Linked DNA regions of Kluyveromyces lactis. The protein of the gene in region 3 purifies or fractionates together with the protein of the main gene of each other region. This does not show direct contact. Links are inferred from orthologs where the notes say so. Each region holds a gene or a part of one and is shown on either strand. Other genes may lie near its edges.

What was found. The genes of interacting proteins can lie anywhere in the genome.
Region 1: the proteins of SMC3 (region 3) and CSE4 purify together in Saccharomyces cerevisiae (affinity purification with western blotting; 3 studies listed by BioGRID, with this or other methods). This does not show direct contact. The link is inferred for Kluyveromyces lactis from reciprocal best matches to the Saccharomyces cerevisiae genes SMC3 and CSE4.
Region 2: the proteins of SMC3 (region 3) and IRR1 purify together in Saccharomyces cerevisiae (affinity purification with mass spectrometry; 7 studies listed by BioGRID, with this or other methods). This does not show direct contact. The link is inferred for Kluyveromyces lactis from reciprocal best matches to the Saccharomyces cerevisiae genes SMC3 and IRR1.

The regions. Positions count from the first base shown.
Region 1 is NC_006039.1:1,060,066-1,069,332, reverse strand, and holds CSE4 (centromeric DNA-binding histone H3-like protein CSE4), read right to left. Parts: upstream 4,490-9,267; coding exon 3,935-4,489; downstream 1-3,934. Other genes in the region: LPX2 (Lpx2p), read right to left, coding at 1-568; formin-binding protein HOF1, read left to right, coding at 1,917-3,740; ARP9 (Arp9p), read left to right, coding at 4,763-4,792, 4,906-6,240; serine/threonine protein kinase PKH1, read right to left, coding at 6,389-9,166. UniProt on the Saccharomyces cerevisiae protein: Histone H3-like nucleosomal protein that is specifically found in centromeric nucleosomes. Replaces conventional H3 in the nucleosome core of centromeric chromatin that serves as an assembly site for the inner kinetochore.
Region 2 is NC_006042.1:2,569,487-2,580,334, forward strand, and holds IRR1 (cohesin subunit IRR1), read right to left. Parts: upstream 6,235-10,848; coding exon 2,929-6,234; downstream 1-2,928. Other genes in the region: KLLA0_F27709g (uncharacterized protein), read right to left, coding at 84-959; anaphase promoting complex subunit CDC26, read left to right, coding at 1,669-2,010; EMC5 (Emc5p), read right to left, coding at 2,158-2,568; ATG45 (Atg45p), read right to left, coding at 6,896-7,570; KLLA0_F27841g (uncharacterized protein), read left to right, coding at 9,045-9,626; metalloendopeptidase WSS1, read right to left, coding at 10,024-10,755. UniProt on the Saccharomyces cerevisiae protein: Component of cohesin complex, a complex required for the cohesion of sister chromatids after DNA replication. The cohesin complex apparently forms a large proteinaceous ring within which sister chromatids can be trapped.
Region 3 is NC_006037.1:18,418-29,154, reverse strand, and holds SMC3 (cohesin subunit SMC3), read left to right. Parts: upstream 1-3,456; coding exon 3,457-7,131; downstream 7,132-10,737. Other genes in the region: KLLA0_A00374g (pyridoxal 5'-phosphate synthase subunit PdxS), read right to left, coding at 64-957; KLLA0_A00352g (pyridoxal 5'-phosphate synthase subunit PdxT), read left to right, coding at 1,917-2,573; GTT1 (bifunctional glutathione transferase/peroxidase), read right to left, coding at 7,817-8,521; KLLA0_A00242g (acetate uptake transporter family protein), read left to right, coding at 10,050-10,737. UniProt on the Saccharomyces cerevisiae protein: Involved in chromosome cohesion during cell cycle and in DNA repair. Central component of cohesin complex. The cohesin complex is required for the cohesion of sister chromatids after DNA replication.

The DNA.
Region 1 (9,267 bases), on a different chromosome or scaffold from region 3:
TGATACCTCTCACATAAGAAACCTTTTCTGGATTAGTACGTTGATGAACACTTTCAGCAGCGTTTCTTTCAGCACCCGCCAAAACTTTAGTAATATCCATCTTTGGTGTCTTAGAGTGCAATGGCGAAGAAGAACTGGAATTGACATAGGTTACAGTAGTACTTGCTGTACTAGAGGTCCTAGACCTAGCAGCCTTGGGAGCAGCAATTGCAGCAGAAGACGCAGCAGACGAAACTACAGCACTGGCTGGTCTGGATTGGTCAGTTTTCTTTGGAGTAATGACCGCATTAGCTGCCTTCGAAGCATTTGGATTCAATAACCTTTTGTAGGCTTCGATGGTGGTCTTGTTGCTCGTTGCCAAATTGGCAGCAGTATCTGAAGCATCCTTACCATTAACCACGCCGGCCTTCAGAGACTGAGCTGGAGACTGGAACACACCGTACTTCAATTTTGCTCTGTATAGAGCCTCCTTGGATAATGGTTTACCGGCACTCTGGTAAACAGAACTTTGTTCTGCACCATTAGTATCCCTGGATTCGTCGCCAGTTACCGCAGAAACTAAAGACATTCTGTTTCTGGTAATATATCTGGGTATTTTCTTAGCTACTAATAATTCAAAGTAAAAAGCGAAAGTGTTCCTTAGACTCGTACAATTGAGCGACCAAGTAGTGTAGTTTTTTGGTTTATGTTCCTCTCAAATTTGTAAAACACAATAGGACTTGGTTCACGTTCTGATTTCGATATCAGTAATTTGCTTATCCTTTGCCCGTTTTTTGAGAAGTTTAGTATTAACTCTTCTTTCTAGTGGGAGTAAACGTAACTATGATAAACCTTTACTTGTAATTACGAACGAAATACACTTGAATTCACGTTTGTTTTATAATAAAGCAACGAAGCGAATATATGCTAAAGTGAATTGTTGATTAGAAACCCTATAATTAAGGATATATAATTTCTTGATATTGCAAAGTAAATAAACTTAAAAGAAAAAAAAATTGGCTAGAGTGACTTTTTAGGGACTCCTGGCGAAAAAAAACTGGCCAGAATAATTGAGAATAAAAAAGGAAGGAACCAAGCTGAGGTACCGCAGAAACTTATACCCTCAGTGTAGTTGGAACCCTTGCTGTTGAGCTGGTGCCTTGGTTGTCATCTTTGTTTGCCGTTTTTAAGGGGACGATTGCTATTACGAATTGTATCATTGTATGTACTGTGTTGCAGAGAAATAGTCTCAATTTGGGAACAATGTCGTAATGAAAACAGGGGAAAACTCGGCTGGTTACCCTGATATACAGTTTGTACGTTGTTTTCTGTGAACCTTCTTTGATGGTTCTTAGCAGGAAGAAAATACTCACGACGTTTTTGCTAATTATTTCATTGCAATCCCGTGCGGAGCTAAAGCATATCACAAAGGAGACATAGAGAGTTTTGCGATGGGTTAATTCAGGAATTTAATTGGACTCTCAAGTCATTAGACGGTGCTGTCCATATACCAGGGTAATCGTCAGAGATTATGGGGATTTTAGGCTCTCCTATTTATCCTCGCTTTCTCTTTTCATGTTCTTGTACGGCCGGTACAGACAAAAATGATAGAGGTACAGAATTAAGCATAATTTCCCTTTTTGGTATTATTACTTGCTTTGCAATAAACAAACAAAAATATAAGTCACGTGATTGAACTTATTCCCCAATCAGGAATAATGTAAACATCATCGAACAGCACTATCACAGTGATTGTATTCAGTTGTAGAGATGGATGGTTCTGGCTCTCTCACCAAACTTTGTTCGGTGTATGTTAACAATTCACAAGGATTGAAGTTAGATGTACGGTATCTGTTTTGTCATTCAACAATCTACAATTGAAGGGAAGTTGAGGGCATAACAAAGAGTAGGTATTAGCAAGGAAAGCTATCGATTGAATGACTCAAATATACAACTATCAAGAAAGTTTCTGGGACGAAGACGATCAAGGTGTTACCGTTCTTCTTCAGCATGTTGGAAGAGGTATATGCACCTGTGAGTTATTGCTCGATTGTTTCACTAAGAGAAGTGAGTTGGAGATGGATTATGCAAGAAGATTAGGAGCACTCAGTGCAAGAATAATGAACAATCTCGAACGATATGCGGACTACAATAATATGTCTGAATCCTTAAAATATTTCCAATCCTCCCAGCAGACAATAGCCAATGGTCATTCTAAGGCATATGAGAGGCTCAACAGGGAAAATGTCGGTACGATGAGTGATTTCTTAAAGCAATATAGAGCCAGATGGTCAACGATAACGGGAAACGTGGAAAACTTAAGGAAGTTGAAAGATGAAAAGAAGAAAGCCTTGAAATCTATAGATCAAGAATTACTCAGTGCTGAGAATAAACTGAGAGAGTATCAGCTCAACAAAGAAACTGCCTTGGGCGAATACCAAAGGAAAGAAAATGCGAGAGAATTGGAAAAATGGTCTTCGATAGTGGAAGAATCACACCGTAGGAAAACCGTCTTACATCATGAATGTAAAGCTGCTAGAGCACATTGGTTTGAGGAATGGAGACATATTAGTGGAGAATTGCAAAGTTTAGAAACACAAAGAATCCAGGTCTCTAGGGAATTACTACAACAATACGCTGATTTTACAACCCAGCCTTCGGAACTGGAACTCTCTTTGATGGAACAATTAAAACAAAAACTTTCCAGCTTCACACCTGAACTTGAAATATCGCACTTTTCTTACCACCATGGTACTGGAAGAATCAAGTTGAAAAACTCTAACTCAGTTTCAACGCACAACTCAAGTGCTAACTCTAACCCATCTAATGTGATCCGTCCGAAGAGTTCTCACAAGGCGTTGGATTTAACAAAGAATGATAGGTATGTTCAAAATATAAAAAGACTATCAACCCAGCTGAAGAACACCAGGCTCAATTCAATAAATGCATTAAGTGTCGATAAAGGGTTGCCAACTCCAAAAACTGATGCTGCCCTTGTTAATTCCATAGAATCGAAGGTCCTAAATGATAACTCTGCTCCGCATTCCGTTGAAAACTATTTAGAAGTGGTTACAAAGCCAGGACATGGAGCAACATTATCAGAATCTTCAGAAGAGACTTCTTCAAATCCAACGGACTTTACTCATAGGAAAAATAAGGCAAGTTATGATTCCATGTCGACTTCTCTCTCATCCATGGCCTCAAGTGTCGATGACTCTCAAAGGTTTGCTAAATCTTGGAATTCACGCAATAGAAGAAAATCTAGACCTTCATCAATGTATTCGCCCACAATGGATACGGATACTTCTGACAACGACAATAACAACTCTCTGAAGCCACCAACTGCAAATCGTAGAAAATCCATCGCATCGGATGTCGAAACAGCATTAGAAATCTTGGAAATGAATGATCGTCCGATGACATCAAGAACGAGCTCTGGTGCTTCTAGCAACTTAACTGTGAGCAGAACAGTGTTGCCTTTCAGCAACTCTTTGAATATAATGCGTTGTAAACGTGTGACTATTGATGGTGAACAATTGAATCTACCCATCGTTGATTCCATGAAAAATCCAGTCGTAAAATATGTCAAAGCGATGTATTCGTACACTGAACCCAATGAAAATAACATACTACTTTTCAATTCTGGTGATATCCTGCTGTTAGTCGAATGCATAAATGATGACTGGTATGTGGGTGAGGTATATCAAGGTAACAAACAGCATGGTCTGGTACCAATGAATTACGTGAAAGTAATAAATTGATGTACATCACTTTCACCTTGGACGCTTTCCTTTCTGACCATTTTCACCCGTTAAATAATGAATTTGTAACCATATGTAACCAATATAAAGTTCTATACTTATATATAATTTCTGCTCTTCCAATAGACATCAAACTATTAGCAAATTGAAGCTGAGCAGATAAATCTGTACTTTAAATGATAGGAAGGATTGCTTCAAATAAATTGACCTCGTATCCTTCTAGCTAGTTGCATGTCCTTTCTCATAATTGTAATTCTTTTAGCATGAAGTGCCAATAGATTTGTATGCTCTAATAAACCGACTAAGTAGGCTTCACTTGCTTCTTGAAGAGCCATAATTGCCATGGATTGCCATCGAAGAGGTTCGCTCTCGGTAGTGAATTGATCTGTTACCTCTTTCACTAGCCTCGCAAAGGGCATTCTGGATATAAGCAAATCTGTGGATCTTTGATATTTCCTTATTTCTGCCAAAGCTAGGTCAGTAGGTTTATATCTAGTTCCCCGAGCCTTTGTTATTCTTTCATGTGCGCTGATATGATGCTCTGGAGGGTGAATCTGCTGGCTGCTAGCAGAACGCTCGGGCTGGATGTATCTTGCTTTGTCTTCACTTCTATTTAACAACAAACGTCTTCTTCTGTTTCTCTGTAATAATTGTAGTGCTCTCTGATTGATCGATTCACGATCTATAAGTGAAGCGCCAACATTGCTCAAAGATCTAGAACCGTCTATGCTCCTGATAGACTGTTCCATTATGTATCAATCTCTTTTCCGTATGGTCTTTTGCGTGTCATAGAACTAATTTCAATGTTTCGCGTGTCATATTCATCATTGAGTAGGCTAATGTTAGCTAGATAACTGTTTTCATTATTTGAAAAATTCAAAAAGTAATAGAAGATAAACAAGTTTATACTTTGAATTAGCTACTTGGATAGGAAAAGTCTCGTCATTGACCTAGCAACTGTAACTCGTATTGTTACGATAAATCGAGCACTTTGTTGTATTGTTAGAAACCATTTAGCAAAAATGGCACCATTAAGACAAGACAGTTACTTCGTATGTGCGGTATCCAGATTGTTCATTATTCCGAAAACATTAGTTATTTAAACTACTAAGATAACTTTACTAACCGATCCACTCACATTACTACATGTGGTACTTTTGTCCAGATAATATATCCAGGATCCAATAGGACTTTGGTTCAATTTGGTATTGGAGAAGATACTTTGCAGCCGCCTTCGATTTCTATTCCAACAAAAGTTTACAGAGATGCAAATGGTAACTTTACATCCTCTGTTACTGATGTTGTTATCTGTCCCATTGTGAAGGGAAGCATTGTCGATATTGATGCGTTCCAATATTTTCTAAAGTTGATCTATAAATCTGTGTTAAAACAGGAGAGTGACGATAGTCCAATCGCTTGGGATACAGCTCTTTCTAATATTCCATTTTTGTTAATTTCGCATTACTCTTGGACTCAATTCCAACAAGAACTACTTTGCAGAACAGCTTTTGAAGCAATGAAATTGAAGCATTTTGTTATATTACCTAGCTCGTTAGCTAATTCATTTGCCTATGGCTCTTTGCAAAATTGTTTGATCATCGATATTGGCAAGTTTCACACCGATGTTGTACCAATTATGGACTATACACCCTTAACCTGCTTCATAAGACAGATTACTTCCGGTGGAAACTCGATAAATAAGAATCTACAGAGAGCTTTACCAAATCTCACCGAGTCCCAAATTGAGGATTTAAAAAGGTCGGATATATACGAAATTTTGTCCCAAGATATCATGGATCAATACGCTATCGACAACGAAGATGACGAAGAAGGTACTTTAGATGTGGCTACAATTGTTACTAGTGGGCGTGATACTCGAGAAATTCTAGAAGAGCGCGAACGAAACAAAAACAAAGAAAAACTGGACAACAGCAAATTAGAGACAAATGACTTCTTTGATACTGATGGTAATCGTATTACTGTAAGCAGGCAGAGATTCACAGGCTATGAAGATCTGTTGAAGGATGTCTCGAAAGCTGTAGGACAAGCAATGAGCCAGATTGATGACATAACCAAGCTTAAAGCAATGTGGGAAAATGTCATTATTGTTGGAGGGACATCACATATAAAAGGGTTCAGGGAAGCTCTTCTATCACAGCTGCTAAAAGACCATATAGTTAGTGAACCAGAAGAGGAACTGTATAAAAGAGAGGTGGATGCTGCGGCTAAATTAGATTCTAAACAGAAGAAAATTGGGAAGGTTTCCACTGCTCCAATCTTAAATCAGATTGAATATGTGCAGCCACCAACTACCATCATGACACCAAAGTTCCCTGAATATTTCTCGGAATGGAAGAAGATTGGTTTCGCTGATATTACCTTCTTAGGCGCCCAGATCTTAACAAAGCAAGTGTTTGGGCATTCTAACAATTCATTCTATGTCACAAGGGAGAAGTATGACGAACTAGGCCCAGAGGCCATCTGGGAGGTTTCTTTCTAAATAATTCTAGTACTTTTTCAATATATAAACGTATACAGATATCCATTGTAATTTCAATCAGCAAATGCAGTTCAGAGTACCGTACATTTAGAAAGTGCCCATCAAACTTCTCTAGAGCATTGAGCTATGACTCTTACTAGAATTTTGATCATTTGTTTGTTCTAAAGATTTGCTCGCTCCGGGAAAGCATTCTAGATCCACTTGATATTGGTCTTGTACCCAGCTTCCCGTTATTGTTTTGTTTTTGTCTCTGTGAGGTAAAACTGGACCTTCTTTTAGTGAGGAAAGGAGTTTTTGTAGTTTTATACCCATTAAGTTGTGTTTCGGCTTCCTGCTCAGCTAGTAATGCCGCTTTGTTAGCAATGGGATTGATTGATGTTTCATTATTAGTGAATCTTTCATTTTTGCTTTTAATCGCTGAAGTTAGGGAATGCAACCATACCAGGGTATCTGATTCGTCCGTTTGAAATACAAATGTTTTGAATGGCGTCTGTACAACGAAGATATCTTTCGAACTTGTCTTCTTCTCTGGTACAACCTCCTTTATGCGAACACCTAACTGTGACAAATCTATCTCATATTCTAGATCATAGAAAAGGTTTGAATTTTGATTAATTTTGTTTTTTCTAGCAAATAAAAGGCACCTTCCGAATGTCGTTATTACACACATTCTTTTAATATATTCTGATTGTGCGATAAATTCTGCAGGTGCATCAGGTGCCTTTGAAAAGAAATGTTTCAATTTTGACATACCCTCATGCGAAGCCTCATCTGCGCCAGATTGCTTACGATAGCTCGCTTCAACATTTTCAGGATCAATCAGATACTCACTATAAAAGTCATGCTCAACCAAGTTTGAGTTCTCTTGACGAAAGCCAGTTACATTTCCGCCTCCTCTAACAACTTGAGTCAGTAGAGTATTTTTTTTCTGCACCCTTCCGTCTGCATCTAAGAGGGAGAGCTTTGACTTGCTAATCTTCGCTTCAAGACTTTGGTTTTTGAGCGTGGTAACATTGATCTCCCCCATCTTTATCACACGTTCTTGTATATTTTTTAAGTAGTACGACCACATTATATCTAATTTACTCATTGGAGATAAATCGGACGATATTTTTCTGATATTAGAAGACGATGAAGGAGGAGCAGACTTGGATGATGATGAATTTGTACTTGCACTGCGGTTGGAGCCACTAGGTTTCCTTTGACTTCTTCCAGAACCCGCAGAAGAAGTTGAAGATTTTGCTGTCGTTTCATTTAATGGTTGCTTAATTTGCTGAAGAGCTGCTGCTGCTGCTGTTGCAGGATTAGGAGTGATATCACCTTGGCTTGGAGAGCCGGAGTATTGTTGTGATGGTTTAAGGGCAGCCCGTCTGTGGTTCCGCTGAGAAATTTCTTTTTTAACATTATTCAAAATCCGCTGTGTTCTAGGGTCTAACTCACGTTTTGTTGTGGTGGATGTCGTGTCACCATTTGGCCTTTGTGCTGTTGTCGTGTTTTTAGGGGTTATCTTCGGTGATACTGAGCTTTGTCGAACAGGTTCATGAATTGGATTAATAGCCGGAGACGAGGCCACCTTCGGTACCGAGGATTGCAAAGCACGGGCGGAAACCTTGTATGGACCAAGTTCTGGGGGGTCTTTATCCCAAACTGAGCCGTTACCGAAGTTTACATCGGCGAAAAACTGGTGAGCTTTAATTTGATTGATCAGCAATCTTCTTTCTGGGTTTTTAATTAGAATATTTTTCACCAAATCTCTCACAGTCATTGGGAAGCCAGCGGTAAAAGCAAATTGAACTTTCATTACCTTCTGGAATGTCAAATATTCATTGTTCGCCTTAAATGGCGGTTTCCCGGCTATCATTTGGAAAAGAATGCAACCAAATGCCCAAATGTCACACCTAAAATCAACGTAGTTATCATTCAACAATTCTGGTGATACATATTCTGCTGTGCCAACAAAGGAGTTAGATCTTGTCAACAGATCGTACTTAAGGTCATCCTCCGAAGTACTATCTAGAAGCCTTGCAGTACCAAAATCAGTTAACTTGACTTTCATATCAACGTCTAACAAGATATTTTCTGGTTTCAAGTCTCTATGTATAACTCCCTTGTCATGCATGAAACCTAATGCATCGATTATTTGTGCTGCATAGTACTGTGTACATTTTTCATTGACTGAACCATGCTTTCTCATAAGAGATAATAAATCGCCATTTGGTGCATATTCCAACAAAAAGTATAGAGAGGATTCATCCTGGAAGGTAAAATATAAAGAGATGATTCCTTTGGTATTCTTCAACCTCTGCAAGGTATTCTTTTCAATATTAACGTATTTTACCTTTTTCTGTTTGATGAGGTATTCTTTATTCAAAATTTTGACCGCATATTTTTTATTACTTTCAATTGAAGTTGCAAGCAGCACTGTTGAATAAGATCCATCACCTAACGTTTCTCCAAATTTGAAATCATTAATCCCCTTTTTGATGACTTGCTTTGTGATTTTCCCTGTTTGCTTATCCGGAACATCCTTCACTATCATTGCAGCACCACGATCTGCCCATTCCTTCTGCCTACGCTGCATTGATTCGCTAATGGGTAATTCCTTAGGTATTGAAATGTTATCATCTCGCGTGGAATCAATTGTTTCGACTGAAGACAGAGAGTCGTTTCTTCTGTTCAAATACTTCGGATCCAAAGAGATAAAATTGTCAACGTCTGTTAATGCTTTAGTTAAAACAGGAGGATTCGGCTTCCCAAATGGCTTCATTTCTGAGAGGTTAGATAAATCATCTGTCGTTCTGATAGTGGGTAGAGGAGGATGTGATAGTTCCATCGGAATTGGAGGTGGCGTTGGTCTATGCATAACAGATCTGGCAGATCCTGACGTAGGTATAATGGGTTTGTTAAAAGAATCTTCAGAAGACATATTGATGAAACTCTTAGAATGGTATTTTTATCAGTACAAATGCAAAGCAACAAATTTCGATATTGAACAAAGAAATATTTGATACCAAAACGCTGTTAGTT
Region 2 (10,848 bases), on a different chromosome or scaffold from region 3:
TATTTCGAACTGGAGTGAAGGCTGATGCAATGTTTCAATATGAAGATTATCAATATCGTAAATATTTAAATGGGGGATTATAGTTAGTTGGCAAGCTGAGGCTCATCATTATTTTCGTTTACGATGAAATTGTTCTGTTCTTGTTCGTCTTCTGAAGTATCATCTTCATTTGGATCGTCTTGTCGTTGTCTATTGAGGGCATTTATGAGCATGCTTATATCATTTGGATCCATATTTGGAAATCTTTCTCTTAATGACTGCATGGCCAGCTCTTGTTTTGAAAATCTTGGTCCAATCTTATGCAAGATCATCTTATTGAAAATTGGCTCTCTGACTACCATATCATATTGTAAATATGCGATAGCATGCACGATCAAAACCATCAGAATTTGTAACAACGAAAATCTGTAATTTATCACTAGTTGATATAAAATATCCGTAGTTGTTGGATTTTTTGGTATGTTTCTTTCAAAGCCATAAATCAAATTGATATACCATTTGTTATTTGAAGGAAATGAAAAATCATCCACAGTAGCCGTATATAGCTTCCCCCAGATATTCCAGGACAGGGGAATTCCAATGAAGAAAAGGAACGCAATCAATGTGAATTTGAAATAGTGATTTAATTTGCCAAAGATTTTGAAAACGCTATGTTTCAGAAGAAGTAGAAGTGGGATCTTCTCTGGCATTGATTCATCATACAAAGTTTGGAACGCGATTGGATGATTACAAATCGAACATACCATCCCTGCACCAGGTTTTGTAACATCGACATGTTTTGACTGTAGCCATTCGATCAAACATAATTGATGAATATATTTGATGGAGCCTTTGCACTTGCATGGATGGAACAACGGATTATCGGACGTTCCTTCCAGCATACAAATACGGCAAGTTGGAAAATTCCCCGCATGCTTATCTTCGTAGTTGTGGTCTCCACCATTCATACTGGATGACATTTTTTATCAATTAGTAAACCGGTACTGCGAAGTTCAAATTTGAAACTTGGATAAAAAAATCTTGTGTCTAAGAGGTCGTACTATGGTTTCAACTGTGAAAAATCAAACCTGCAAAGAGATGATTGGGCTGGTTATTATATACAAGAGAAGCAGGCTACTCTGAGCTGTTTAAGTTTCTCTATGCCATAAGAATTGATCGTTATGCGTATAAGTTTTCAAATTTGAATTGCATTGAAATTGTCTGTAAATTACAGACATAAAAAAAAAGAAGTTTAAAAATCTAGGATTCATTCATAAAATAGACAAAAATGGAAAGCCCTGTGGGGGGCTCGAACCCCCAACCTTGTGATTAAGAGTCACACGCGCTACCGATTGCGCCAACAAGGCTATGTAAATTTGTAGATTCTGACTCGCCGTATGGTCAACTACATTGTCCAAGTGTGATCATATATGCTCATTCCTTCCTTCCTTCCTTCTTTAAGTGATTTGGTAAAATGTTGTATCGAGTAAGAGATCTTAGAGTTGCATGTGCGTCATATTGTGTTAGATACGTTCATTTGTAATAGTATGTGAAGGTTTTGCTTTTCCTTTCGCATCATATTTCATCAACCGAATTTAATAACACAAAAGCAGTCAAGTTTCTTAAGATGTCAATTTATATAGCATAACGTAGAATTATAACATAGAATCGGCATAAATACCAACCATTATGCTAAGGCGTGATCCTACAGTTTTATCCTTGACTTCCGATGATATTTCCGAGCTACAAGAACATTTAGAAGAGTACAAGCTCCAACGCGAGATACAGACGCAACATCAAGATCTTTTGAAATCATCTGCAAAAATGAGTAGATTAGCAGAGATAGAAGGCATTTCTAACCCAAGTGCGACACGGAATGATATTTTATCACACTCATTGCATAAGATGACGCCACCTCAGCGATATAAACAGTCTGCATCATCAGATCCTCGATTCATTGAACAAAATAGTACACAGAGTACACAGGATCCTCCAAATCCCTTTTACACGTACAATCACAATGATAACTGACGTCCTAATGTGATTGGTGAAGTGCCTATATTGGCTATCGGCCCTGTATCTACTCCCGTTAGTTATTATTGCAAAGTCATTATATTATGTAATTCCCCAGTACATATTATATATATGTATGCGTTTAAGTTACCAATCTTTATCAACTCACAAACTGCGATGAAGGTATTCTTTGAACAGTTTCCTCTTAGCATGGATGTCAACAAATGAAGGAAGGTAGTTTATTTCCCCATAAGGATCATTGTTTATCACTACATCTGTACTGGACGCCTTGTTCAATTCGATAGGTTTAAGATACTCATCTGTCTCAATTATTCGTTCCTCCCCACGAATACTAAGGTACTTAAGCTTGGATTGACTGATAAATGTACCCAAAATAAAGAATAATAACCCGCATAGTGCCTCCAATTTTACGTCATCTGGTAAACCTGGAGTTTTAGCGTCTGGGTTCTCTAGAATGATATGTTTCACAATCTGATGAAATTCATAGCTGGACACACCAGAATGAATAATCTGTATCCACGCTATAAAGTAGAATGATTTGGAAAGTATTGACATTGTTGATTCCAAGATAAAACGGTGAATAGTAGTATTTAAGTAAAGTAACAAAGCCTATTTATGTTAGATCTGTCCAGTTGAACCTTATACTACCTATATTTTGTTTGGTATTCTTGAATAACCTTTCCGTTTTTTTTTTTTTCTGAGTGTTATAGAGTTTCCGACAAGAGAAACTATCTAGGTAAAAAAGAGAGATAGCATGCAGTACTGACACACAGCCGCATGATTGAGGAGAGCTTAGGTTATCGATAGCCATGTAATAGGTTTTATGTATTATGTTTAACACAATTCACCAAAAAAAAAAATAAACTGATTTAAATGCACTCGCAGGAATTTCATTTCGTAGGATCCCCAATAAGATTAGATTGGTGATGAAACAATGGGGTCTGCAGGGTGCGGAGGCGAATGAACTGTTTCATCCTGAGTGAATTCCTCAATTGGTTCAAGAACTTCATCATATTGTTGGGGTACTGGTTCTTGGTTTAATTTGGCTGCAGGATGGCTCTCAGCGTTATTTTTCGGTTCATCTTCGAAAACCGTTTCGCTTACTACACTCTCAAATAATGGCCCTAATTTCTCTTGGTTTAACCCAATTCTTGTAGTTAAATCGCTATAGTTTAGAATTCCAAGTTTGATGAGGCCTTTCAATTTAATGGTATAGATACAAAGCTCCTTCTCTGGATCTCCATCAACATCGACTAAGTTGACAGCGCCATAATTTACATCTTCATCAGCCACTCGATCTAGAGTTATTCCCAAAAATTTTCCAAGACAACTCTCAAGGTAGAGGAAAACTTTGTGGCAAATACCAGTTAGATCTTCGTTAGAGATAACTGAATATTCTTGCCTTAACGCCCTTATCCAATCGGAATCCTTTTCTGACAAATCGAGCTCAAACATTTTGAATGCAATGATAATATCTAACAATGGAGAGAGTATTACATGAAGCACATGGAATTTCTTGTCGTGTTGTATTTCAGGGTTAGAATCGATCTTTGAAGAAAGATTCAGCAATTCGACTAATACCGTTCTAATTTGATTCAGCGTAGTATGTGAAACAGCTATAGGTTCTTCATTATTTTTGATAACATCTCTCCAAGTTGCTAAATTCCAAGTAACTATTGAGGTGAAAAGCTTAAAATCTAGGACAGATATGGCATCCGAATCAATCTTTGGTAGTAATTCACTCAACGGCTTCAAGAATTTTTCAACAATGTCATCCAAAAGCGTTTCTGAAATTTCAATTGCGAACTCCTTACCCAAAATTACAAGTTTGTTAACATATTGCAGATATAATGTTGTTATTGAATTATCAGATTTTATGTCAAATGATTCCATAAACTTCTTGAATGATAATGTCACGTTAATCAGACATGACTTCCAATAACCAGTTACCTCTGGTATTTGAAGGGATGCCAAATATGGAATTAAACTCTTATAGGTTTTAGTAATGGCATTTGCGTTGCTCAAAACCACTGGAGAGCTTTCAAATCGTTTTGTTATTGTTTTATTGATATTAAAAATGACATCCTTTGATTCACTGGAATTCCATTCTTCTGTGTTTAATAGCTGTATTACATTTAGTAGTTGAGTATATATCTGATCAGAATCAAGATTCATTTTCTTGAAAAGATCTTCTAACTCTGGAAGAATTAACTGTGTCACGGCTTGTCTGTCCTGGCCTTTGTTGTACTGTATGCCGCCTGTGCATAAGCCGCCCAACACAGTGGCATAAAATAGGACATTGTTATCAGTTTCTGGTAGGAACAATTTGATATCACCCAGATCATTGGAAAAATCATCTGCATCAGCATGAATTGTGCTGCCATCGAAATTTCCCTCTTCATAGAGTAGTTTTGATATAGTTTCAATTAAGTTGTAAAACTTGGGGGATAAAAATTCCGCCGCTTGCTGTAAGAGTTTGATTTTGTCCGGTGGTACTTTTGCATAACCTTCTAAATTACTAGTGGAGTTGATATGATTTAACAATGAATTGTGTAATAATCTCATTAACACACCCACCTTAACAAACTGCTCTTCCGTTACCGAAATTACCGGAACCTTAAACCTTTCATTGTTTATTAGAAACTCTTCCGTTTTTTCAGAAACAATGTTTGCCAAGAATTTGGTAACCTCGTTCAAGAATTTAACGTCCCTTGACGAAGAAGATACTTTTACTTCATGATCAAAAAAGATCAAGCTAATGATGTCTATTATTTCATGGTCATCCAGATAACCCAACCCATTAATCGACGAAAGTACTTGAACTGAGGTTAATCTTACTTGAATATCGATGTCTCTGCCAGCTATTTCTAACATTCGATCTTTGAATCTTTCGAAAAATTGTCTTAGGGCAGCGTTATCGACAGTATTTTTGTTTCTCTTATTGGAGAACTTAATTAGGTCATGAAGGGACCTTATAACTTGTAACCGGACTGAATTACTGCTATCAGATAGCAACCAACCGAAGTATTTGAGGAAGGTTACCTTAAAAAAGTAGTCTGGATTGTTTTCAATCCAATCTAACAAGTAGGATATCGCAAGGGATCTGATATTTTCATCTACATCTTTGAAACGATGAACAAAACAGAGCTTTATTATGTTATCAATAGTGTTTTCTATCACAGTTTTCGTAGCTTCAGCATCAGAAATAGAAGATTCTAGCGTCTCCATAGTTTTGGACTTGGGCTTTTTCTTTTTTCTCTCCAGTGTCAACTGTTTCCTCAGTTTAAATAACACCTCTGCTTCTAAGCTGGCAGAAGCTCGTGCGAGAGAATCTTGGAAACAGAAGATGGCTTTAGCTGAAACATATCGCAAACATCGTATTTTTGATACTGACATGGAAGGTATCCATGTAAGTAAGTCAATAATTAATGGATTTGTTTCGATCACAATCTCGTCACTTTCTTCTTTTTCATTCTCAACATATATCATCTCTTTCTCAATGGCTAGGTCCATTAATGTGGTCATGAAAATGTTAAAATTATCATTCAAAGGACGGAACTTTGCCTTCTTGTGTGTTGCCGATAGTAATAAATGGAACTCATGTTTTTTTTGCTCATGGAACATAATTTGTATTTCCCCTATTGTTTCATTCGAAGAGTCATTATTAGCTACATCGTGTTCACCAATATGAGTGAAACATCCAGAACAATCTAATAAGAAATTTATGAGATTCGCTAAGCTGACATTTCGGTTATCTATATAGGAATCCAACCAGTCACTGGCAAGTTCTTCGCAAGAAAAATCGTCGGAGCTGCTTAGAATTTCAAAAAGCTCTGTGGGTTTGAATTCATTCTGCAATGATATGTATGCTTCCTGTTCTTTTCTTGAAACAGCACTGGATATATTATTAGATGGTCGGCCTTTCTCGTTTTGTTTTAATTTCGTTCTCTTGTTGCTTGCAACGCGCCTACCTCCGGAATTTGGTCTTTTTCTGGAGCCAGGGGCAACATAGTCGTCATCATTGGCGTCATCGTCTTCTTCTGAACTACTAGAACCTTGTGATAAAGCTTCTTCTTCTTTCTGATTATCCGTGTTTTCGATATTTATTCGATCGTCGGTGACAATGGATCCTATAGTTTCGTGCTCAGAGTCCGATTCTGATCCAGATTGTTCACTATAAGAGGATTTGGTCCTTATCCTGGTTGACCTTCTCACTGGCATAGGTAGACAGTGGAACGAGGCTGAATGGTTCTAGTAAGTGACTGTTGTTGTTAATGTACTATGAGTGAGAGCTGTTTTTTTCCTTGATTTGTTGTTCGTCGCCTCTTTTTTTTTACTTTCATACATATAGTTTTTTAGATTTACGCGACGCGTTTTTTTACTCGAATCCATGTAAAATGTAAGTATTATATTTTGGCCTAATAACGGCAGCTGTGTTAAGAAGTGAAACAACAGTGTTACATTGTTAAATCACAGACCTATATCAATTTCTCTATCTAAAGTTAAATGACCTGTTTTACGAAGACATCCATGAACTTTATCTAAGAGCAATTTTCATTCAAATGAGATGACTTTTGTATGCTTTCATTTGAGGCTACCAAAGCATGGGAAGAGAGTGTGTTTTGAAGCAATCGTCGTAATCGATTTAAACCGACAGACTGTATTACATCCTGAGAAAAAAAAGAAGTTAGAGGCTAAATAAATTAAAGAAGAGAAATAGCACGAGGTTTAAATAGTAATTATTGTAGTTTGATGAATATGTGTTCAGAAGATTTTTACTGGATAGAAGAAGTTGAGCAAAAAGCAGTGTATATTAGCGTGAAAGGAAGAAAAATCAATTAGAAGGAGAATAGGTAAAGAAGAAATAGCATAAAATTAACCATCAACGTTTCCAGTAAGTGGTTGCACGTCTTAAAGTTGCGACGAGTCCGTGTATCGGATTATATGAAGATGGATATTTGGCATTTTGATCAGAGTAGCTTGCCTGTAGTAGAGTTTGTTGAGATTGTTGTTCGTCAATATCATCTACCAAAATATCATCAATTGTACCTTGTGTTACTCTCGGATCTAATTCCACGTCCTCAGATGAGCTTAATTCACCTCTTGAAGTTACGTGTATGTAATCTTGTTCGCTACTTGGCCTAGTGATTGCTAACTGATCGATCTGAAGATCTGAAGGTGACATAGAAGATCTAAAAGGTTTTAAATCCAATTCCACATCTTCCATTACAATATCAGCAACCATTTCTTCAGTCTCCAACCAAGCCTTGCAATGGATTAAATTGTTTTCGTGACCCATATCATCTATATATTTATCGAAACAGCTCAAAGCTTTCCAATGTTCGTTGTTGACAACGAACTTACAGACGAACGTTTCACTATAGCCATCGTACGGCAAATGGGCAATAAAGTAGCCTGTGCTTGAATCATAATTCAAGGTGTACTGACCAGGATTCCAATTATCGAAATCCCCGGTGATAATAACATGATCATCTTTAGTAAATCCACATGAAGCGGGATCAATTCTAAGACAAAGCTCTTGACAATTTTCGGACATTATTTTCAATGGTAAAGTTTTGATGGATACGGTGGCTCTGGAAACCGAATGAGCAAAGTCCTTGTAGACCCTCTTATCGTAAATATTTCTTTGAGTAGTTTAGTATTTTTTTATTTGTCTTTCAGGGACAAGCGTCTAATTTTTTCAGGATCAAAAATATATATGACAGCGAGCAACCCTTGAAAGAAAATCAGTAGCAGATATAAGTCCTAAATACTGTACAGTTCTTTGGCTGACAAAGTAATGATAACTGCTTTATACCGTTGATGAATGGATACAGTAAACTGCTTCGTGAGCTTTATTATATTTTCTGAGGCCTTTGTACAAATGTGATAATATTATCCCAGAAATAATGAGGTTCAATTATTGGCTTATACTTTTCCCCCTAAAACGTGAAAACAGTACTGACGACTTTCGATCTCTAAAGCTTTTAGTAGCAACTGATCTGATACTATCTATCGGGAATAAAGCAAAGAATTTAATGGCAAGCGCAGGGTGAAAATACCAGTTCCTGTACCGGTCAGATCCTAAAATAAACTGTTTCCTCTAAAGTAAACATGCATCCCTTTTATATAATGAGGCCTGAATTCTGATTCGATTTTTGATGTTTTGATTTTTTCACTAGCGGTGGCACTGAAAGCGTAATGATTAAATGAAACAGAAAGAATGTGACACCGTTGTCAATGACAACGAAATAGTATGCCGGAAATGAAAGAGACAAAATTCGTAGGTTATTGAGGTCAATTTCTTACGAAAACCGATTTTCTGTACGTGTAGGTCAAGATGAGTTACCACACACAATCAATTTTTTGATTGTGAGTGGTTATAAGTATATATATATATATATATATATATATATATATATATATGTTGCTTCTTCATCGTTTCTATCTCATTGCCTTCCTAACTTGCAGTGCGGTAAATCTGTGCGGTAGTGGTTCATGATATGTAGGAAAAAAAAGGAAATTCAAAATGCGAAATTACAAAAAGAATAACACTCTTTTTGTAGATCACTCATATTGAACCTCATGATGTGATTTTTAAGTAATACAGAAATGTATCAGTCGTTCGACGCCGTATAACTCGATCCAAGGTGTTTCTTATCAAGTAAAAAAAACATTAGTACTGTTTATGAGAGCTTCTGACATGTGAGAGCTTCTGACATGTGTCAAAAAAAAATAAAAAAAAACCGATGATTGTCTTGCCTTTGTGTCTGGCTCGAATGCAGTAATTTCTTCAGCAGCTCTTCAATATACTCAAAAGTTAATGAAAGTATTCTGTTTCACGGCTCTCAAACTAAAATTTTCTCAGGTACAAAATAGGCTATCTTGGTTCCGTTTACATGCTTAAGCTGGCTTTGCATTATTGTGTCATTGGTTTAATTAAGAGTTTCTCTAAGTTAAGTAGATAGTAATTTGCAAAAGCTCCACACTATTTATCACTTTAACCATAACTATAACTACAACTACAATTAATGTCAGAGAATAAACTTAGGGTCGAGAACGAACAAGTGCAGAAAGGCGATTATGCCTTGGATCATGAATTGGAAAATGTTACAAATGTTGTTGATACCAGAGATCTTGGAATGATAGGCGAAATCATTCAAGGAATAATTGCTTTCTTAAACTCACCTGCCTTTGCGACTATAGTACAAATTATACAACAGATAGTAGAGCTGATTATTGGTGCCTTCTCTTTGGTCTCATTTTTAGGATACCATGGATTCCAAGATGAAGTTGTGAAACAATATATTAGTACCACGTCTTTTTTTGTCGCAACAACACAACACGGTTCGTCCTTATTCAGTAACGGAATTCATTTCATGATATTAATCCTTGACTTACTTTCCAATCAGGACTTGACAAGTACCGAAATTGATTGGAAAACAATTATCTTACAAATAATTCTTTGGATCATTGAAAAATTATTGAATCCAGACAATGACGATGGAACTAATGGTAGACAAAATGATAAGTTGAGGGGATCAGTTTCCTTAATGGCTGCCTCAATCAAAATTGTGTCTATTATTATCTGCTTGCGTTCAATTTTAGGGTGACTGTTGACTCCTATGATCGTATTGATATTCCATGTTCTTTAACCGATTGCCATTTGTTATTCTTTAGATCAATGATCTTTTTACGGTTGACACCAATCTTAATCATGTTTTCGTTTCTAACCTTAAGTGAATTCAAATCTAAAAAAGATTTATGTGGCACTTCCATACATCTTTTGTTTAGTTTCCCGACGGCCTCATGTAATTTGTTTTCTATTTGGTTGGGCAGCGGTGGCTTCATTACTGTTGACATTCAAATACTTTATAACTAAATAAAATTACTGTTGTAATCTTTTCTTTGTCAAGGTTTCCAAGTAGGGAAGTAATAAGATAATGAATATGTAAACCAACATTCCTTGGTTATCTAATTTCATCTCTTTATGATCTCAGATGTTGCAGTTCACGTCAAATCCATAATTTCTATACCCCCAGCGGTTTCTAACTTGGTGACTTCAATATTATGATTCTCTTCGTTTGAATCATCATCAAGAAGTTCTATTACTAGATCTTCTTGAACAGGCATATAGTTTTTCTGATCATTTGAGTTGCAGCATGTTTTGTTATCCGCTGCCCTTTTATCTGCCGCGATTGCTGCCATTTCTCTAGCATTCCTTCTTGGTCCTGTTCCAGGTGTCGTACCACCTAGTCTTCTTCCTTTACCTCTTTCTAATGTCTTTCCAATAATAATCGACCCCATCGGTTTGCTACCCAATCTTTTCCCGGTGCCGAGAAAGCTGTCGTAAAGTCCCATTTGTTCAATGGTCCATTGTCTTCCCGATAATTGATCCAGCTTTTCGTAAAACTTTCGGTCATGAGGACCATGTAAATTATGGGTAAGCTCATGAAGCATGGTACCCATAATAGATTCTATCGGTAGAAATTTATATTCGTCTAATGGGTCTCTAAGCCGCAACATGATCTTCATGCCTTTGTTCACGTTCATACCTAAAAGTGATCGATTCCGTGGATAAAACTCAACTAATTGTCTTACTTTGAACCTTTCCTCTTTCATCAGATACGATACGTTATGAGCGACCCTTTTCAATATGTTTAATGCATCGTTTTTTCCTGGTTTTGTTTGCAATACTGCAATGCTTCCTACATGCGGATTCTTTTGTATCGGAGGAACCATCTGTGCGTTGTCCGTATATAGGCTGTCATTAATTTTCAATAGCGCAACTTTTTTAGTTAGTTCATATCCATAGGATATTCTACTGTTATCATC
Region 3 (10,737 bases):
TAAACTTTTGTTCGTCTTTACTTGAATATGTAAAAATACCTATCGCTGTATACTGTTTCGTAACTACCAGCCGATGTTTGCCAACCTTTTAGGGTTTTCGGAGTTCTTCAAGGATTCTATTGACAATCCACCCATTAGGTCACCCAAATCAGTTGACACTTTCAACAAAGTTTCTGCATCATCGTAATGGGTAGTAGCTTCCACAATTGCACGAGCTAGCTTTTCTGGGTCAGAAGATTTGAAGATACCTGACCCGACAAATACACCTTCACAACCCAATTGCATTAATAAAGCGGCATCGGCAGGAGTGGCAACACCACCGGCAGCAAAGTTCACAACTGGTAACTTCCCGTTATCCAAAACATACTTTAGTAACTCATAAGAAACACCAATAGATTCAGCGCGTTGCTTAATGAAATCTGTGTCATCACCGAGAGTATCTTGATATTCCTTAATTTCAGATTTAATCTTTTTGATATGCTTAACTGCTTCAGAAACATCACCAGTACCAGCTTCACCCTTGGTACGGATCATTGCTGCACCTTCTTCTATTCTTCTAAGTGCTTCACCGAGATCTTTTGCACCGCAAACAAATGGTACATTGAAATCGTTCTTCTTGATATGTCCTTTCCAGTCAGCAGGAGTCAAAACCTCACTTTCGTCAATGTAATCAATTTCTAAAGCTTGAAGGATTTGTGCTTCTACGAAATGGCCAATTCTAACCTTTGCCATAACTGGGATACTGACGCTGTTCATGATCTCTTTTATCATTTTTGGATCTGACATACGACACACTTTTCCTGATTTACGCATATCAGCAGGAATTTGCTCCAAGGCCATAACTGCACAGGCACCTGCCTTCTCAGCAATTATGGCTTGTTCAGCAGTGACAACATCCATTATCACCCCTCCCTTCAACATTTGAGCCAATCCACTTTTAACTTTGAAATCTGCCATATCTTAATATTCCTTAATACGTCTTTGTCGCTGTAATGATACTGCCAACAGCTTCCGTCAAGAAAAGAACGACAATAACCTAAACAAAAACTGAAAGCTTCCTTATAGTGAAGTACATTTCTTGCACAAGGCTATACTTATATACATCCAAATAACGGCGGAGCTCGCCATAGATAGACACAAGTGCTGAAGATTTCCCTGTTTAACATTGGAAGGATTCTCAAGTCTACACCTCGGGTTTGGAGTTTTGTTACAGTTTTTATTTCTGCCATGCTAAGGATTACCACCCAATAAGGCATGTGAATGCCATTGCCCACCATCACTGTGGGGCAGTTCGGATTTCGTGCAGATATTCACTCACGAACTGCGCAGTTTTGAATGCCTTTTAGACCTTTTTTCTCGGTACCTTTCGGTAAAAAGTAACAAAAATTGATCATAAAAGGAAGGCCCTTTACAGTTTGACTCATTCAAGTCAGATGCGAGATACTTACTTTAGAGGGATGAATCATCCATGCGAACAGAAAATCATTCAGGGTGCTTGGATCTCTCATCGAATGGCAATTCTGGGCAGCGTTCAAGTCAAATATCGTACTCTTAACGGCATCATATTAATTGCATACTGCTACGCCTTGTAAAGACCTTGTACATGATATAACCCATTGATGTTCTTTTACATAATCTATCTCGACTTAGAATATTCGTTTCACAGATACATACCATTAAGGAGGAAAGTAATAGATTGCTCGCCATTCCATATCGGTAATCATGCCGGTTGAAATTAAAAAGGCCATTCGATTATTATTTGCGTGCTTGGTATAAATTATAGAAGTGTCTAGCCCGTAGCATACATATATGATCTGGTCTTTTTTATCTATAAATTCTTGATAATCCGTCAAGCCTATTTTTTTCTTTATTCGATTTCCATTTGAATTTCAATTTACACCGTTTTTTGCCTTTTCATGGTTCTTTATGACACTGTGACGATGATGACAAAGCGTATTGGCGTATTAGCTCTACAAGGAGCGTTTGCAGAACACATTGCCCTTTTGAATAAAGCCATTGAAGATAATAAACATGATATAGAAGTAATAACAGTTAAGACTGCTCCACAGCTTTCCTCCTGTGATTCTTTAATTATACCTGGTGGTGAATCTACGACAATCTCGCTAATTGCGAAAAGAACAGGACTTTTTGATTCCTTGATTGAATTCGTTCACGACCCCACTAAAACGGTGTGGGGGACCTGTGCTGGATTGATTTTTTTAGCTAAACAACTCAGCAATGAGTCGAGCTTGGTAAATTCGCTCGACCTGTTAAAGGTAAAGGTGAGAAGAAATGCGTTTGGTCGTCAGGCTGAATCGTTCATCGAAACATGTGACTTTTCTTCATTTATTCCTGATTGCACAGGTTTCCAAGTCTACTTCATTAGAGCCCCAATTATAGAAGAGATATTATCTCAGGATGATGTAGAGACATTGTACACTTTAAAAGATGGATCAATAGTGGCAGTCAGTCAACAAGGACGCATTCTAGGAACGTCTTTCCATCCAGAATTGTCCGATAATGATGCCAGATTCCACAACTATTTTATTCAGAAATTTGTTCTAAACAATTGATGCAAATAAATATCTATCGTTTGTATGTATTAAGTCTGAATAAACGCTGAATTCAGAACGAAATTCTTTTATCCAATTCGCCCCTTTGCGTCATTAATTATTCAATAATAAATGCGTTTAAGAAAAAAAGAAAAAATTGACACTGACGGGATTCGAACCCGTGTCACTCCCTCGCCTATGATCCTGAAGATCATTGTTATGGAAGGGGAGTATCCTAAACCACTAGACTACAGTGTCCAATGCCTGTTCAGTGTTGGAGCAGATTCTCAATATACCTTATTGTTGATGTGGCTGGTATTTCCAGTCACGTGCTGTTAAATTAAGATCTTTGGTATCTGATGAATCCATAGCGTTTATTAGCTATATATCCAGTAGTGTATGTTGATGCACCTGGGGATCTGGCATGACTGTATTGATGGTCCTTGTCCAGATCTAATGCCTCCTTATATAATAATTCAGATTAGTTAATGATATTTCATTCCGAAACACCCGTTATGTATCATCTTGATACTTAACCGCCTATTACATTGGTAGTTACCCGATCATAGTTTATGATCCATTTAAACACTTACATCGGAAAGCAGCTAACTTCGTATCAAGCCTTAGTAAAGACGAGCGTACATTGGATCCATTTAAATACTTTGAACATTTCGAAGAAGGAAGCTTACCGTTGCATTTAAGTTAGCATGTTAGGGTAACGAGTTGAAATTTGTTTATGTTATACACTGTCTATGAAACGCGTCCTTCTTTAATAAAAAAAAATGAATATCATAAACACATACAAAATTATACAAAACAAGTTAAGTTTACGCGTCCTGTATCAGAAAGCTCTAGGAATAAGAGTAATTACAAGGGCAAGAAGACAGACTACAACACTGTTGAAATGGTTCACATCAAAACTGTTATAATCAGTGGCTTCAAGACTTACAAGAATCGGACCGTGGTGGAGAATTTTTCACCCCATCACAATGTTGTTGTCGGTTCCAACGGTTCTGGTAAGTCGAACTTCTTTGCAGCTATTAGGTTCGTCTTAAGCGAAGAGAATTCAAACTTAAAACGTGAAGATAGGAAGGGTTTTATCTACCAAGGTGCAGGGCAAGTAATGAGTGCATTCGTTGAAATTATCTTTGATGATCCTGAGAACTTAATGCTTGCACCGTTAAGAAACGATACTGGAGAGGTCAGAATTAGAAGGACAGTGGGATTGAAGAAGGATGAATACATGATTAATGACAAGAACTCAACAAGACAAGACGTTAGAAGAGTTTTAGAAAATGTAGGATTTTCAACTTCGAATCCTTACAACATTGTTCCGCAAGGGCGAATAATATCCTTGACCAACGCGAAAGATTTAGAACGGCTGCATCTATTAGAGGACGTTGTAGGTGCAAAATCATTCGAAAACAAACTGAAAGAGTCTTTGAAAAAGATGGAGGCAGCAGAGAGAGATAGAACGAAAATCACTAATGAATTAAACGAACTTGACAAACGGTTGAGCGAATTGTCCGATGAAAAGGAAGAATTGGAAAAGTACAACAATCTAAATAGAGATCGAAAAGTTTTACAGTTTTGCTTATACGATAGGGAATTGAACGATATTACGAACCAAATTGAACAACTTGAAGGTGAGTACAATTCAATTATTGAAAATTCTTCTGAGTATGTTAACGAATTGGAAAAAAGAGAAGTGCTTGCAGTAGAGCTCAACAAGAGAATGAATTCTTTAGAAAGTGAGATTAAAATAAAACAGTCTACTGATCTACCACAGTTAAAGGCATCGAAGCTAGAAGTTGCTGGGGAATTGGCGGATTTAGACACTAGGTTAAACGATATTCAAATGCAATTGGATGCTTCACAAGCGCATTTGGAATCAAATGTCAAAGAAATCGGAGAAGTAAAGAAACAAATTGAGATTAACTGCTCGTCAATTGCCGAGGTACAACCAAAATTCCAAAAACTATCAAATGAAGCAGAAATCTTAAAAGTAGAAATCGAGAAACTCACAAAGAGGCAAAGAGAATTATTATCAAAAAAAGGGAAGTATGAAGATTTTCGTACGGTAAACGAAAGAAATGACTGGATCCAAGAACAAATTAACTTATTAAACCAGTCGCTGAATAAATCTAATATATTAAAAGATCAACTGACTAGCCAACTTAGTACACTACAGCATGATTTAGAGAATTTAAATGCTGAAATTGAAGACCTAGCCGATTCAGTAAATGGAATGGGATCTGTTGCTCAGCAGGAAGACTTGCAAAATAAAGTAACACAAGCCAAGAAGGAATATTTGACGAAAATCGATCAAAGAAAACAGCTATGGAGAACTGAACAAAGACTACAAACAATTTCCACCTCTCTCGATAATGATGTCAAAAGGTTTGAGTCAGATATGAATGAAACAATTGATCGTTCTTTAGCACTTGGTCTACAAAATGTCAATGACATTGTTAATAGGTTAAATTTACATGAGCATGTTTTTGGCCCTGTAGGCGAGTTGATAAAGGTAAGCGATAAATACAAAATATGTGCAGAAGTCGTGGGAGGCAACTCCCTTTTCAATGTTGTTGTTGACAATGAAGAGACCGCAAGTTTATTAATTAAGGAATTGTTTGCAACGAAAGGTGGAAGGGTAACATTTATTCCTCTCAATAAGTTGCATGTGGATACCAACTTTACGTATCCAAATAACTTGGAGAAAAATCAATGTACACCTCTAATCAAAAAGATCAAGTATGACGTGAAATTTGAGAAAGTGATCAAGCAGGTTTTTGGCCGAACTCTTGTCGTTAAATCCTTGATTGATGGTGCTTCCCTTGCCAAAGAATACAAACTAAATGCTATAACTTTAGACGGTGATCGTGCAGACAGTAAAGGTGTTTTATCTGGTGGTTACTTGGATCAGTACAAGAGTAATAGACTGGATACTTTACGAGACTTCAAACAATCGAAAAGAGAATATAAAAAAATTCAAGTAGAGCTTCAAGAGATTAAACAGGCGCTCCAGAGTATCGAACAGGAAATTGATGGCCTAAACAATGTTGTTAAGGATGCTGCAGCAGAGAGAGATGCGTATGAAGCAGGCATAGAAAAGGCTAGGAGTCAGTTGAAAGCAAAGCTGTCTCAGAAAATTACGATTGATGACTCTATAAAAGCTTTGAAGGCGAGACTAAACAAAATCGATACGGAGCTTGAACAATGTAGAGAACGTACAAATGCCTTTGCTGCGGATATATCTAAACCATTTGTTAATGAACTAGATGCAGATGAAAAAGCCGAGTTACTTGCTATATCCAATAGCATTCAAACGAAAGAAACGTCTTTGAATTTCAATTTGTCAACTTTGAATGAACTTTCTTCTAAGTTAGACGAGCTCAACGCTGAATTAAATTCAAAGCTACTTCCTAAGTTACATGAGCTGGAGCGAAAGCCCTCTTCTTCACACAGTTTACAAATCAGTCAGATCAACAACCAAATGGAACTTGTTCTGATGGAGAAACAAACTGTGACAAGGACAAAAGAACAAGTAGAATCTGAATTATCAGTACTAGACAGCAGTATCAAATCCCTTAGAGGAGAGAAAGCAACCCTTCAAAAGGATTTAGATAAAGCCAACTCACAACAACGATCACTAGTCAAAAGGATTACGAACTTTCAGAAGAATGCAGAAAAAGTTTTATTGAAAAAGTCAACTCTGAACTCAAGAAAGGAGGAATTGCAACAATTGATTAGGGAGGTAGGGCTATTAGCAGAAGAATCCTTAAAAAAATATAAACCACTTGCTAGTGATGAAATTCTCAAGAAATTGAACACTACTACCGGGCATTTATCAAAAATGACTAATGTAAACAAGCGAGCATCTGAAAATTACACCAGGTTTGAAGATAAGAGAGGCGAGCTCACTTCAAGAGCTGAAGAACTAGATGAATCAAAGCAGTCTATTGAAAATTTGATTGACCAATTGAAGGAACAGAAGATCACTGCTATAGAAAAAACCTTCAATAAAGTCGCTGACAACTTCAGTCGTGTCTTTGCGACTTTGGTCCCCAGAGGAATTGGCAAGTTAATTATCAATCATCGTAAAAACACAGATAACTCGGAAGTATCAACTAAAAAACGTAGAAGAGGGGCCAGGCAGGAACAAAACTCAGCAGAGGCATTGAATGAGAGCAAATATACAGGAGTTTCAATTCAAGTGTCCTTCAACTCGAAGAAAGATGAACAGTTGCGTGTGGAACAATTATCTGGCGGTCAAAAAACTGTTTGTGCTATTGCCTTAATACTTGCAATCCAAATGGTTGACCCTGCTCCTTTCTATCTGTTTGATGAAATTGATGCCGCTTTGGACAAGCAATATCGGATAGCTGTGGCAAGAACCATCAAAAACCTCTCTGACACAGCTCAATTTATTTGTACGACATTCAGGACAGATATGATCAATGTTGCAGACACATTCTTCAGAGTGAAGTTTGAAAATAAAGTCTCCACCGTCACGGAGGTGTCTAGACAAGATGCAGTGAATTTTAGCAGAGGTAATAATAAAATGGAAGAGCTGTGATATTGTTTACTATTCAATGCAGATATAGCTATATAAGTAATGCACAATATAATTGGTTTTTTATCATATGTGAAAACTATTGCAATATGATGCCATTAGCCTTTACATTTACGACCTTACGCCGATTATACTACGTTTTGTAGAGTCAAACCTTATCGATGCAGTTTCCTAGTTGAGACCATAAATACTTTGAGTTTCACCTCAATATAATCTCGTTCTGAGGATACATATTGGAATTTCTGTGCATAAAATCCAGTTCGTTTATGATACTAGCTATGTCTGAAGATGTATATATATATATATACATATGGTTTGCAATCATAGGGAAGTGGGGTTTTGAACGCATCTGTTGAGACTCTTGCTTTCATGCGCCAGTTCTTTCAGTAGAACTCTCTCTTGCCTGAAAGAGCTTAGTACAGTAACACTAGTTACCGCATTTGTAGGTTCCAAATATAACCTGAAACCTCGTATTTTTCGATTTTTTATCATTATCCAAGGATGGCGCTTGTTAAACCACTTTATCCATTGTCAGATAGAAAACATTAAATGATGCTATGGCAATACGGAGTTATATAGTAGAGAAAACTTGTTGTGCGCTCTCAATTGTCTTTCAGGACAAAAGTTCGAATCAGCAGATAACTTGAGATCAGAACGTGCACCATCGCTTGTATGTAAGGAACCATTTTTAGAATGAGGCGCCATTCGCTTTGGCTTTGTCTTTTGAAGTTGAGTAAGACTCTTCCCTTTTGATAGTCTCCAACCACTTTGCTATATTTGGATACTCTTCGGTTCTGGCGAATTGCCTCTCGAAAGCCATTTCCAAGGGGAACGATAATAAAATGTCAGCAGCACTGAGTTTACCTCCGACCAAGTATCCGTCATTTTGCTCAATTTCGGTCTCAATGAAATCTAGCTGGTTTTTCACCTCTCCCCGAGAATACTTTTCACTGATTTTGTCGGCGAATTTCTTGGTAATGTAAGAGAAGGGGAATGGCACAGGAGCCTCTTTAGCCTTTGAAAGGAGGAATTCAATGAATAAAGGTGGTTGAAGCGAACCTTCAGCGTAGTGTAGATAATATTTGATCTTTTCGGCCTTCTGTTGATCTGCATTGTTAAGAATTCCTTCCTTGTCGAAATTTTCTAAAATATACTGGAAAATATAACCCGATTCCGCAAGGATATCCTTTCTGTCAGAACTCTTATAATCTATCTCCAAAATTGGTGCTCTACCCAATGGATGGATCTTCTTTAATTCCTCTGGTGCTCTAAATTGTTCATTTCTTTTGTAGGGAACGATTTCATAGTCGAGTTTCAAATGATCTAACAACCATAGAACCCTGAAGGCCCTCGATTGGTTTAGCCAATGGACTTTAATAACGTTTGTGCTCATTTCAGACTATGTGGGATGCGTGTATCTGAGTAACTTTTAACTAGACAGCGTTTTTTGGAAATTAATCATAAAGTGCGATGCATTTAATATTTGTTTTCTTTTAAGGAACATGTTATCATCTTAGCAAAATCATCGATTATAGTGAGCAAAGATGATTGCTTTCTTTTTTTAGCCCCCCTTTGCTATTTTGCCCGACTGGGAGCAGGACACAATTTGAAGTAATCACGTGACTTACAAAGGATATAGAGTACTGAGGAAGAAAAGCGAACACACCGCCGATTTGCTATCAAATGGAAACGGGCTTCATTCTGATGTTGTGCGGCTGCGACCTCGAAAATAAGCCATCAAAAAGTGATTACTACCGTACGAGGTTTGAATCGGCTATAATGACAGAAAGTCAACCCGCATAATCCCACACACTTTTTTGTTTGTCCATACATATATATGTGTTCTTTTAGTTGCGAATGATTCTCAGCTCACGTGACTTTCGTTGTTCCCCGTAAAAAAAAATATTAACTTCATTGCTGATAATCCCTGTTTGCTTTGCACCCTTTGTACTGTGTCGTAAAACTTCCCGTCTGTCCTATAATTCTTCCGAATTTGCGTGGGACTATTTTCAGCGCCCCGCTCTTGAAAGAAAAATGGGCAGAACGGGAACTGGAAGGGGACACAGAATTATCCCTAATCGTCATCGGTTCCGGTTCTTACCTTTTTTTTTTAATTTTCCTACCCTCTCAATTTCCCAAACCGGCTGGTATGTTGGCTTTTCTGGAACAGCCAATCACCTCAGCAAAGTAAGGCTGGCAAGGAAATAGGCAAAATTTGTTGGTCACCTCAGTAACAACGTTGTAGCCCAATTCTCAGGATTTGAACCGTGATCACAGCCTGTTGTAAAGGCTCGTTTGCAGTTTAGCGGGTTATTCTGATGCTGCTTTGTAATCATACGGCTATTGTTATTGAAGCTCATCCCGTCGCTATAAATTTCTTTCGAGCAGTAGTAGAGTTCGGCACTTGTAAAAGATCGGAAGATACGAAACGGACTTGATTCAAAAACCAGAGGGGTAATTCCTATTTGGGATTCGAAGTCCACAAACTCCGACAATTTCTTGAGTTACCATGCTATAATTCTGGGATGATCAATAATGATTGAAAAGAAAGCGGTTGACAGAAAGAACTTTCGGTACAGAAACTCAGTGCGCGATACAACGGAGAGGGTTAAACAAGGAGTGTTCGTGAGGAGAAATGCACTGTAACTTGCTTGCGATATAAGCATGAAATGCTGACGTTAAGACTTAAGATGGCATATGGTTTGAGACTTGAAAGCGTATATAAAGACATAATGTGCTGAAGTTCCGTCATTCTATACATTAAGAACAGAATGAATGAATAACTCTTGGATACAACAGCAATAGAGAGCTCCAGTTCAATATTTAGTACTTTTGGGATTATCCATCTTCACTGACCTTCCAGTACAAAATATTCGCGTGAGACATACTTTCAAAGACCAAAAGAAACAAAAGAGAATATAATGTCAGACCAGTCCCTAAATGAAAAATCGGGGGATCATTTCGAGAATCAGATGCGTATGGCAAACCACGATCCATCAGAATCTTCTGCGTACGATGATTTGGAATTGCAAAAGATTCATACTGGCGGTGACAATCACGAATTCGTTTTCATCGGTCGTCAAAAGTTCTTGAAGGAAGATTTATTTACTGCTTTTGGTGGTACCTTGAACCCTGGGCTAGCGCCACCTTCAACACATAAATTCGCTAATCCTGCCCCATTAGGGTTATCGGCTTTTGCTTTGACTACATTCGTACTTTCAATGTTCAATGCCAGGGCAATGGGAATCACGATACCGAATGTTGTTGTCGGTTCAGCCGCATTTTATGGCGGTTTGGTTCAGCTAATTGCAGGGATTTGGGAAATAGCGTTGGAAAACACATTTGGTGGTACTGCACTAAGTTCATTTGGTGGATTTTGGATGTCATTTTCTGCGTTATACATCCCATTCTTCGGTGTAGCCGATGCCTATAAAGAACACCCAGAACAGTTCTCTTCTGCAGTGGGATTCTTTTTGCTAGGATGGGCAATCTTCACTGCTGGTATGACGGTGTGTACAATGAAATCTACTGTTGCATTCTTCTCGTTGTTCTTCTTTTTGACTATTACTTTCCTTCTTCTATCTATTGGTGAATTTGCACAGAATACCA